Schizosaccharomyces pombe: one gene and its partner. The protein of the gene in region 1 purifies or fractionates together with the protein of each later gene. This does not show direct contact. Each region holds a gene or a part of one and is shown on either strand. Other genes may lie near its edges.

Region 1 (5,548 bases):
TGGTTCTTCGCAAGTTTGGTTGACGTGCCACATGGCTGCCACCCTACATGATGAACCTACTAAGTATCCACATCGTCAAACATTGACTTTAAAAATCCGCAAACACTTTTGGCAGTCTTAATCCCTAATAATAGGAACAATTTATTTTAAGCTATCTCACAAAAAAAAAAATCGAATAGAAAGAATACGTGTTTTTATTAGAATTTGATATTAGCGAATTTCGAAGTCAATTTTTCTAGCATCCTTTACTAATATATTTGAAAACTGAATTATTTTGATTTATAAAATTATGTTTTCTATTGATAGTTGCTTGAAAACAAGGCCCTTAACTTTTCGAATTGCTCGTCTTGGTATGAACTTCACGACATGTTCAGCTGCTAGATCATACGTTGGAAAAAAAGAAATCATTGTTCCAAAAAATATCCAGTTTGATTTGGAGGGGGAACAACTACAGATTACTGGACCTCATGGAACACTTAACATGAGATTTCCAAATTATCTCAATCTCTCGAAAACTAATGACATCCTAAAAGTAGGAATGGATGCCAATATAGAAAAGCAAGCTACTAAAAAGCAACGTGCAATGTGGGGCACTACTAGGGCTATCCTAGCTAATAATGTAAAGGGAGTAACTATGTACTGGCAATCTATTATCAAATTGGTTGGTATCGGGTATCGGACTTCTCTAAACGATGGAAATATTCATTTAAAAATAGGTTATGCAAACGACATTTTGGTCTCTATCCCTACTGATGTACAAGTTGAGAATCCAACGCCAACCAGCTTGGTACTTCGTGGAATTGATCGACAAAAAGTCACACAGTTTGCAGCAAAAATTCGATCGTTTAAAAAGCCCGAGCCGTATAAAGGGAAGGGGATTTATGTTGATGGGGAAAAACCGCAGTTAAAAGCTAAACGGAGCATATCATGAGTTCTTTGGATTTCATTATGCAGTACATTCTCATATTTCAATTTTCCATCTGGCATACACCTTGTGCAAATTCACTATACAAACTCATTTCTTACAAACACTTATTAAATCACATTGCAGTAAAAATTGTCACAGACTGTTAGTAGCGTATAAACGTACAAAAGGAAATGTTATTCAATGAATAAAAATATAAAATCATCATTCGCTCGACACCCTTTGCCTCCTAGAACAGTCCTTTACGGAATGTCTGACCTCAGTTTTTCATGGATTGTTGTGAAACTGCCTGTTTATTCCATTTACGCAATGCAAGTTCTCGTAAGCTTCTTCCTCGGGGACGATGCTCTTTTTCATACAAATAATAACCATAAGTACCGACGAAGATTCCAAACAAAGGATCCATCCATCTGTTTAAGTAACATGTTAATATAATGAACCGAGTCTTCTTACAATCTTACTTAGAAATTAAATAGGGTTGAGACATCTTCTTTTTGAAATGACTTCTTCTCTTTTACGTGGCTAGCTGATTACTTTTAATCAATAGTAGTAGTGAGACTGTAAGGTTGGAAATATGTAGTAGCCTAATGAAGTATATGGGCCGCATTGAGCAAATACCTAGATATATCCATCATACATCCTTTTTATCGTAGTAATAAACTGATATTAGAGTCATTTTGTCAAATTTAAAGCTCGCTTTTTATTAAAAATTTGAGAATGCTTTTATTTATGTTTCTGTTTCTTAAATAATTAATAGTTGCATTCTCACATTCTTTTGAGAAACTTAATAAAAATGTGAGTATTAAATTCTAAGATGAAGTTTGACGAATGTATTTCCCTAAATTGCTTCCTCCTTATTTTTAATATTAGCGAAAATTCGAACTTGCCCACTAACAAAAGCCCAGTACATGTAGAGTGCAAACAAAGCGCACTACATAAACAACCATCGTTGTTAATATGTCATTTTATAAAGAAAAATCAATTAATGAAACAAATCTCGGATCGTTCGTTGACGAAAGTAATGAACTTTTTTTTTCGGCATTATCGGAATCCTCAATGAACCATGGAACTCCTGATGATAGCATTCTACTTGACTTAGTAAGTCGTTCAGACAATAAAGATTTATATCAAGATTCTCTCGATGTTCGAGATAATTTTTCAAACTTATCTAGTGATGAAATTCCCCAAAGCAGTTCCTATGAACAAACTCGCAAGCCATTCTTTCATCATTTTAACCCGTTCGAGTTTTTAGAAGCCACAAGTCCATTGCAACAAAATGGCAAATCTAGAGATACGGAGAAGCCTCCTTCAATGAAAGAAAAGGATTTGTCTTCAAATAGCAGTTCGCAGCATGATAAAGCCTTTCATGAAAGGGTTGACCAGGGGAAAAATAAATCGTCAACCACTAAATATCAAGAATTTCGAACTGTCGCTGATTATCGAGAATTTTCTCCTGGACAATCAGTCAATTCATTGAAGCCAAATTCTGGTGATGAAGTTCCATCAACCAAATCCTCAACGTCTTCTGAAATGCATACTCAACTATTGAAGGATGAGCAAAAGAAAATTTTAACACCCGCACCTGATGTGCCTCATGATGTTTACTGTATTGAACCCTCTTTGGGTCGAGTTTTTTCTTTTCCGGCTTCATTCGTTGCATCTCCTTTGCTTTTAGAAGATTGCAATAAAATAGCATCTTGTGATCTTCCTTATAGTACATTTTATGCTAACTCACAAGTTATTGATAAATTTTCTGAATATTTTGCATACGTGGATCAGGATCCTTGCCATATTCGCGTACTGAACGCCAATACCGATCAATCGCTCATACTTTATACGCAATCTGATGTTAAAAATCTACATTTTGGCAAAAATAAGCATACAAAGCCCCATCTTTTGGTAATGGACGCTCTCTCTAATCTGTATGTTTGGAAAATTTTACAGAAGCGATCTGAAATTTCAGTTTCACTTTTGTTTACCATCCGTCGTGCCAATTATGGTATTTGTGATTGGATTCCTAATTCTTCAAATATGTTTTCTATGATTGTAAAGAATTCTTTATATATTGTGGATATATCAAATATTCGTTCCAATAATATTAGCCCTAAAGTTTATGCAAAAGATTTTAATGGATTACAAGCTGCCAAGGTTGATTTACCTGGGCCGATTAACTCATACACCATCTCTTCTGACCGTTCTGTTGTTGCAATATTAGTGAATTCTCAAATTTTTTTCTATTCATTTCCAGTTTCTAATTTATTTTCTACTAATCCTTCACACCGAGGTAACTGGGCGGCTATCGCGACAATGAGCCTTCAGCTTCCGAGTACAGCAAATTCTATTTCTTTTCTTTCATCTCCACCGAACAATAATGATATCATTGATAAAGTTATTTGTGTCTCCTATGCTAATAATACTATATTAGGTTTATTTGATTTTGGGTTATGTGCTTTTACTCAAGAAATTGAGTTTTCAAATGAAAAAGAGAAATCACCTATTCAGCAATTACTTACTTTCAATAATTCAAACATGATTGTTGCAAAAAGGAATCAGCTTTTGGATATCTTTATTTATTCACCTTCTGATTTATCCAATGTGGGTGTATTATCTAACACTGCAGCTTTGATCTCTGCTGTTTCCAAAGGCAAGCGTTTTGGAGATTCTGGTTATATTAATAAAGTAATATCGAATGAGGTGGTGGATCATAGCATTGTTTTTGTCACCTTAATTGGCTGTGATAGTTCCAAACTTGAACTAATTTTGGCACTAAGTTCTGGATATTTTCAGTTCTGCATAGAAAGCGATTCCAAATTTGACGAGGGCACTTCTTTGGAATATCCTAATTCTGACAAGCGAATTTTAGCTAGGGCATCATTAACTTCGGGATTAAAGTCTAATAACACGCTAAGGGCTTTGAGTCAAGATTTAAAAAATTGTGCAAAATCTAAGGATGATTCCACAACACAAAATCTTACAGAGTCTTTGGGATCAGTTTGTTATCCCTCCATGCCATTCTTCAATCAATACGTTCCTCAAAATCCTAATGAGGTTAGAGAAAATATCTCTTCAGTCATGAAAAGTAGAATCCACGCAAAATTTGAAAGCTTGCATAGTCGAGTGGAATTGGTTGTTAAGAACTCTTACATGAAATTGTTGGAGCAGACTATTTCAGAAGCTGCAACCGATGAAATTTCTGATCTTTTCAAATTGATACATTCAAAACCTTTTCTTCTTGAGGTAGGATTCCTAGAAACTGGATTTTTGGCAAACGACTTGGAAAACTTAACATCCACTTATAGAAGCAGTAATAGGCAGTTGTGCGATTTTTCAAACCGCATAGGAAACATTAACCAAAAGCTTGAAAAACTCTTAATGATTGAGCGATTAGAAACTAGCGATCAAAGTCCAACATCCTCTTCTAATTTTGAAGAATCTGAGTCATTTGCAGTATCGAAAAAAGTTTTGGAATTGGTTCGCATTTCTAAGAATAAAGAGGCGTTAATTTGCTTCACGAAGGATCCCTCTATTGAAGCATTCCGGTCATTACAAGATGTGCCTGATTATTCACTAGATGATTGTTCTTCAATTCATCTTTTAGCATTTATTCATGTTCTTTCCAAGTTAATCATAAAAGAGGAACAGCTATCATTTTCTCGTCTTCAACTATTATCGCGAGCTACTTCACGTCTTCGGACTATGACATTATCAGTATTTAACAACAGCGGCACATTAACTCCTGAGCTGTTCTCCTCCGTTGTGCGCATTGTTCTTAAAAACGTGAGGGAATTTGTGCTAATTGGTAACTCTAGTATACAGAAGTCGAAGCACGAATTTTTAATTACGACGCTCCAAGCACTGTTAAGAGAAGTCGATATTTTTCTCAATACATAGAAAATGGAGGAATCTCTGAAACTAGCTTATGAGCGACAATAAGCTTAGCTGCAAGCACTAGTAATTTTGTCTTTTACGGCATTTTTTCCTTATAGGGGGCATTTAAGCTATTAACTATAAGTTAACAAATAAGGAATTTTATCGTGTTACCTTATTATACCGTTTGCCGCACACTGGTGCTTTTTTTTATTAATTTATATAGTTGTGTTGTCTTTTGAATACCTAAGTATTTGGCTACATACAACAGAGAAATGGTATAACGACAACATTTTAACAAAACCTTTTTTGTTTTTAATTTCTTTTGCTTACCATCAATCCCTGGGTTATGAGCGGACTACCATTTCATATTCCCGGTTATTATTACAATTCTGAAAAAAAGCGTTACTTTCGAATAATTAGCTCGGGGCAGTCTACTCCGTCCTCTAATATTTATACTAAGGAGAGGTTGAAAAGGGGGAAGCGTTTTAATAATATCAGTAAAGAACGAACCAAAGGAAAAGGAGGCAATCCCGTTTTCAACTTTTCAACTTATCTTTTTGATAGACAGTTTTCACAATATCCTTATTCTTGTAATGATGACAGAGATTATTTATGTGCAAAAAACCTAAAAAAAATAAATCTTCGGCAGCTTCCAGTTGGGACTGAGCTGCAAAAAATAGGTTGGCTTCGCGAAGTTAATACCATAATTTTAACTTCCAAAAACGGCGACATATTGGGGTGTTGTCTTACCCC
Region 2 (6,851 bases), 1.4 Mb from region 1:
TTGCATGAACCAAGATGTGTGACAGTATTTTTGTCGGTTAGCGTAAAACATTTGCAGCGGTTTACTTATCCATTGCAATCTTAATTTCATTTATTAAAAATTTATTTCTCATGGAGCCTGGAAAAAAGGATTATATAGATTCTCCTTTGAGGATGCAACCAGCCTCACTTTCTGGCGCATCTACACCAACTATTGATTTAGACGGGCTTTCTTGGCCTTGTAAGTAATGAAAGCATATTTTATACTCATTTAAGTATTCTAATACCAATTAGGTCAAGGAACACAACGTAGAATAGATACTGCTGAGGAAGAAAAAGTAAAAAAAATTTCCAATGCTATTTCAACAATTTTGGAATGTTTGGGAGAAGATCCTGAGAGACAAGGCCTTTTGGGAACACCTGAGAGGTATGCCAAGGCAATGCTTTACTTTACCAAAGGATACGAGCAAAATTTGACCGAAGTGATCAATGAGGCAGTATTTCAAGAAGATCACGAAGAAATGGTCATTGTTAGAGATATTGATGTATTCAGTTTGTGCGAGCATCATTTGGTTCCTTTTATTGGAAAAGTAGGTTTCATTTAGAAGTGGATTTTATCCATTGCATTCACGTGATTGGGCTATGCAATTATGTTTAACCCTCTTTCACAAACTCAGCGTATTAAACTAACATTATTGTAGATTCATATTGGTTATATTCCTCGTAAGCGTGTATTGGGACTTTCAAAGCTCGCACGTATAGCCAATATGTTTTCGCGTCGCCTACAGGTGCAGGAGCGTCTTACCAAACAAGTTGCCCAAGCTATTCAAGCTGTCTTAAAACCTCAGGGAGTTGCAGTCGTTATGGAAGCTACTCATATGTGCATGGTTATGCGCGGTGTTGAAAAACCGGGTAGCAGTACTGTTACTAGTAGTCTTACTGGTATATTTCAGAGAAGCCATAAAACTAGGGAGGAGTTTTTTAGATTGATTGGAAAATTTTAATTTTGGTTTTATTTTGTTCGTTAATCGCTAGAGGTGATACCGTCCGTAAATTCCTATTACAACTAAATGGTATTATATTTTTATTTTTTTTTGCATTCCAGTTTTTGAGTTGTTAAAACAATCACTTTTTTAAATATATCAATCCTTGCATATGTTTATTTATGCATACGATTTAGCAACCAAAGATTTTAAAAGCAGTCGAAAGTTCTCTCTCTATTACTCTTTAAAAATATGAATGCCCTTCTTCAGTTGTTTTTCACGAATTTTTTTTTTTTTTTTTTTGATATCTTAGTATTATGAGAAGAAATTCGAACACATGGTCGTTTTTCATATGGCTTATTTTATTTTCTTGAAAATTGACCGGAGCTATTTCACTCCACCTTACTATTATTAGCCTCAACGTGCTAAGGAAGACGTTATCCTAATGGAAAACTACTATTTAAGTTTTCTTTTTGAACGTTGTTTCGAATCACTTTTTTGGTTACATGGTAAATTAGTCCATGTTATTATATACATATATGAAGTTTCAACAATTTTATTAATTATTTACTAAGTTTTGCTGTGTAAGACTTTCAATTTGCAAGAGCTCAATTAATAGTTTATCATCAAATATATTATGAATGAATAATCTTTGTACCGTAATCGATAAGTATTGCAAGCAACTTACAGTGATTGTATTGATATACCCTAGACACATTATTATAAAGGTAAATGTCTCGTTAATTATAAAATTTGCCAATGTTTTTTAATCATCTACTACTGCTGCAGTTTCAATTAGTCGAAACGTATTTCTTGATAAATGTGTTTGATTTGTTTTTCAAACAACTAAACTCCTTCCTTCGCCTCAATGTTTAAGAACTTGCTCTATTTTAGACTCAGCTAGTCTCAAAGACTAACTATTTTGCCATTTGTATTTTTGTTGAAAAAAATGATAATATGATAATATCTTTACTCACAATGATATCGTTAAAAAGGCTTCTGTTAGTATGATATTAAATCAAAGAGGATCTACACATTTTCAATATTTCATGTACTATATAACTAACTCCTTAAACTTCACTAACCTGGGGCCTATCGATACGTGCAAGCACCGCATATGTTGACATTTGTTCTCTACTAACAACAATACTTTCTAAATTTATTCCTATTTAACTGTTAATGAGAAAGTTCGTTCAGTATGGGAATTCCAAAGGTTGTTATCGATATTTTGTATAAGTTTTTAACAATTAGTTTTTTCGATGGATGAGCGAAAGGTATCCGCTGTGCAGTCAGCTGATTGAAAACGATCGCATTCCCGAGTATGTCAATTTAAATCATCGTTTGAAACGTATGGAGCTAATTGAAATAGATTTGATAATCTTTATCTAGATATGAATGGTATTCTTCATAACTGTACGCATAAGAATGATGATCATTCCTCACCACCACTTCCAGAAGAGGAAATGTATATAGCCATTTTTAATTATATTGAGCATTTATTTGAAAAAATTAAACCCAAAAAGCTTCTATATATGGCAGTAGATGGATGTGCCCCACGTGCGAAAATGAATCAACAGCGCAGTCGCCGATTCAGAACTGCTAAAGATGCCCACGATGCGCGTTTAAAAGCAGAACGTAATGGGGAGGATTTTCCCGAGGAGCAATTTGACAGTAACTGTATAACGCCAGGTACAACTTTTATGGAGAGGGTTTCACGACAGTTATACTATTTTATTCACAAAAAAGTTACGAACGATTCCCAGTGGCAGAACATTGAGGTTATTTTCTCTGGCCACGATTGCCCCGGTGAGGGTGAGCATAAAATTATGGAATATATTCGAACCCAAAAGGCTCAACCTAGCTATAATCCTAACACTCGCCATTGCCTTTATGGTTTGGATGCTGATTTAATTATGCTAGGTCTTTTATCTCATGATCCACATTTTTGTCTATTACGTGAGGAGGTTACTTTTGGTCCGGCAAGTAGAAACCGTTCTAAGGAATTGGCTCACCAAAAATTTTATTTATTGCATTTAAGTTTATTAAGAGAATATCTTGAATTTGAATTTCAAGAATGCCGATCTACATTCACTTTTAAGTATGATCTCGAAAAAATCCTTGACGACTTTATTCTTTTAGCTTTTTTTGTCGGAAATGACTTCCTTCCCCATTTGCCTGGGCTTCATATTAATGAGGGTGCGTTAGCTTTGATGTTTAGTATATACAAAAAAGTTATGCCTTCTGCTGGGGGATATATTAATGAAAAGGGAGTAATCAATATGGCTAGATTGGAACTTATACTCCTCGAACTTGAGAATTTTGAGAAAGAGATATTTAAAGCTGAAGTTTCTGAGACAAAAAACAATGGGAACTCTGACAAACCATCTTTTGACTTTCTCAAATATATTACTGAATCAACAAATGATATTAAAGCCATGACAGGGGAGCAGAAAAATTATTTCTTACAGATTAAAAAGTTTTTGTCTTCTCGTGAGCCGTTCATTGATTTTAGTGCAAACATTTCTTCTGTTGATCAGCGCTTTCTACGACGTTTATGTAATGATCTTCATCTGTCATTTTCCAAAATTATAAAGGTAGACGGCACTCATCTATTAAGGATTACATTTAGAGATCTTGAATTTAATGATGAAGACGAAGATGAAATTGAGCAGGACGAAATCGAACGTGTACTTCAAAAGTATGATAACATTCCTTTGCTTAACGAAGAACAAGCTTTAAAAGAAAAAAACGTCGAAAAAGATTTTATCCAATGGAAGGATGATTATTATCGAAGCAAGGTTGGTTTTAGTTATTATGATGAAGAAGCTTTAAAAGCAATGGCTGAACGTTATGTTGAAGGTTTACAATGGGTACTTTTCTATTATTACCGTGGATGTCAGTCTTGGGGTTGGTATTACAACTACCATTTTGCACCAAAGATTTCAGATGTTTTAAAGGGCCTTGATGTAAAGATTGATTTCAAAATGGGTACACCCTTCCGTCCTTTTGAGCAGCTCATGGCCGTTTTGCCTGCAAGAAGTCAGGCATTAGTACCCCCTTGTTTCCGCGATTTAATGGTTAACAGCGAATCTCCAATTATTGATTTTTATCCAGAAAATTTTGCTTTGGATCAAAATGGAAAAACAGCTAGTTGGGAAGCTGTGGTTATAATTCCTTTTATTGACGAAACCCGTCTTATAGACGCACTAGCATCCAAGGATAAATTTTTGACTGAAGAGGAACGAAAAAGAAATTCCTTCAATGCCCCAACGGTCTTCTCTTTAGCGGAGGATTATACATCGTTTTATCCTTCTTCATTACCTTCACTTTTTCCGGATTTGGTTACCCGCTGTATTCAAAAACCTTACTCTCTACCTTCGATGGAAGGTAAAGAATATTTGGTTGGTCTTTGCCCTGGCGTTTTCTTAGGTGCTTTTGGAATGGTGGGTTTTCCTTCCTTTCACACTTTGAAGCATAAAGCAGAATTAGTGTATCATGGTATCAATGTTTTTGGTAATGAAAGCAGGAATCCCTCCGTAATCGTCAATGTTGAAGACGTCAAATCTGCTTTAACGTCGGAACAAATTGCGATGCAATATGTCGGAAAACGAATTTTTGTAGACTGGCCTTATTTACGTGAAGCATATGTGGAGAGTGCTATGGACGAAAGTTACATGTATTTAGCTTCAAACAGTACCATTGAGAAAAGGGATTTGGCAGAAATTGAAAAAAGCCAATGGGGCCGTAAATGTTCCCATAAAATTAGAGAATATAGTAAACGATTTGGCGTTCTTTTTGGTGATATTTCCTTATTGCTTCAAGTACGTCCTATCAAAGGATTGGAGTATACCAGAGAAGGTGCTCTTGTTAAGATTTTTAACGAATCTGTCCTTGAGGATTATCCAGCCCAATTAGTGGTCGAAAAGATTGCTATAGATGATCCAAGATTTACCGAGAGAGAAGCTCCGCCAGTAGAGGTGGAATATCCTCCAGGAACGAAGGCTTTTCATCTCGGAGAGTATAATTATGGGCGACCTGCACAAATTACAGGATGCAAGGACAACAAGCTCATTATTTGGTTATCAACCGCCCCTGGGTTGGATGCCCAATGGGGTCGTGTTCTTGTTAACGATAGCAAGTCAAAAGAGAAATATTATCCTTCTTATATCGTTGCGAAGTTGCTTAACATACATCCGCTACTTTTAAGTAAAATAACATCTAGCTTCTTAATTAGCAATGGTACTAAAAGAGAAAATATTGGATTAAATTTAAAATTTGATGCCAGAAATCAAAAAGTGTTAGGATTTTCCCGGAAAAGCACTAAAGGTTGGGAATTCTCGAACAAAACCGTTGCCCTTGTTAAAGAGTACATAAATACGTTCCCTCAATTATTTAATATTTTAACAACACATGCTACCAAGGATAATTTAACGGTCAAGGATTGCTTCCCTAAAGATGATACCCAACAATTGGCTGCGGTCAAACATTGGATCAAAGAGAAAGGGATTAACTCTCTTACTAGAGTATCTTTAGATGAAGATGCTTTAGACTCGGACATTATAAAGCTAATTGAGGAAAAAGCAAGCACAATTGATTCTACCTATCAGGTTCCGAAGAAAGTTTTTGGCGTCCCTCGGTATGCCTTATTAAAACCTTCACAAACACGTGGAATTTTGCATAGTCAAGAATTTGCTTTAGGCGATCGTGTTGTTTATGTTCAGGACTCTGGTAAAGTTCCAATTGCAGCATACGGAACTGTCGTGGGTATTATGTTGCATCATTTGGATGTCGTCTTTGACTTGCCTTTTATGAGCGGAACTACTCTAGATGGAAGGTGTTCGCCATATCATGGTATGCAAGTTGAAGTTTCAATGGTTTTAAACGTTACAAATCCTCAGTTCGTTGTAAATACCCGTGCCGGAAAGAATAGAAAAACCAATGTTAGTGCAAATAATGTTTCTCAAGGTACTGACTCTCGTTTGGTAACGAAACCCACTTCAACTTTTCCATCACCTCCATCCCCTCCATCTTCTAGTGTTTGGAACAAAAGAGAGCATCATCCAAAGCCTTTTTCACTACATCAAGTCCCTCCCCCTGAATCATTAATCCATAAATCGAAGAGTAAGTTTAGCAAAGGTAACCACCACTCTACCAATGGTACACAATCTATCCGCGGTAGGGGTGGAAAACGTGGTAAACCCTTAAGGTCGAAAGAACTCAATCGCAAGCACGATCACATCGTTCAGCCGATGGGCAAACTTCAGATTAACTAGCCCAATTGTATTTTAGTGGTGTGATAATAAATTTTATTAGCATAGAATTCTTTAACTTTATAGAAGGTTTTAAGACAACATTATGATATGAATGAAATTTATGTGCAAATATTTTAGTAGACTTCTATACTTTAAATCTGTAGTAAGAGAAATTTCGGTTTGAACGGTTAAACTTATAAATATTTAGTATTCGGAGTTTAGTCTCAGATACAATCAACCAAACACGACTTTACAAATCATATGGAAGAAAAATATTATAAAAACAATAGAGGTAACAAAATTTATATTACGACTGGATAATATGCTCGATTCTAATTTTTAACGCCGTAACGATTTACAGTCTTACCGTCTGGAATGTTGAAGAGAACAGCCTGCGTACCATCAAATGGAACATCAACAATGTAATAACCTTTACGCTCAACTTGAATTATATCACCCTTCTTTAAATTCTTGATTCCAACGTCAGCAAAGACGGGAGAGTGGAATTCAGTTTGAGGAGTTAGGAAGTCCTTATAGTTTTCTCCTTCTTCAAGTTTGTCCTTGGTAATAAGATAGTCAAAATCAACAAGGTCGACAGGAGTTTTGTCCTCCGTATCAGCCAACCAAGTGACTTTCTT

Evidence for each region.
Region 2: the proteins of eti1 (region 1) and exo2 purify together in Schizosaccharomyces pombe (affinity purification with western blotting; one study listed by BioGRID). This does not show direct contact.

Annotation. Positions count from the first base shown.
Region 1 is NC_003424.3:329,078-334,625, reverse strand, and holds eti1 (protein eti1), read left to right. Parts: upstream 1-1,817; 5' UTR 1,818-1,882; coding exon 1,883-4,816; downstream 4,817-5,548. Other genes in the region: mrpl6 (mitochondrial 54S ribosomal protein uL6m), read left to right, coding at 290-931; nce101 (non-classical export protein 1), read right to left, coding at 1,185-1,335, 1,387-1,412; WD-repeat family protein wdr21, read left to right, coding at 5,142-5,548.
Region 2 is NC_003424.3:1,776,390-1,783,240, forward strand, and holds exo2 (exonuclease II Exo2), read left to right. Parts: upstream 1-2,100; 5' UTR 2,101-2,159; coding exon 2,160-2,174; exon of another isoform or gene 2,175-2,212; coding exon 2,213-2,280; exon of another isoform or gene 2,281-2,320; intron 2,321-2,330; coding exon 2,331-6,234; 3' UTR 6,235-6,351; downstream 6,352-6,851. Other genes in the region: fol2 (GTP cyclohydrolase), read left to right, coding at 111-219, 273-568, 680-982; gus1 (glutamate-tRNA ligase), read right to left, coding at 6,546-6,851. UniProt on the Schizosaccharomyces pombe protein: Multifunctional protein that exhibits several independent functions at different levels of the cellular processes. 5'-3' exonuclease component of the nonsense-mediated mRNA decay (NMD) which is a highly conserved mRNA degradation pathway, an RNA surveillance system whose role is to identify and rid cells of mRNA with premature termination codons and thus prevents accumulation of potentially harmful truncated proteins.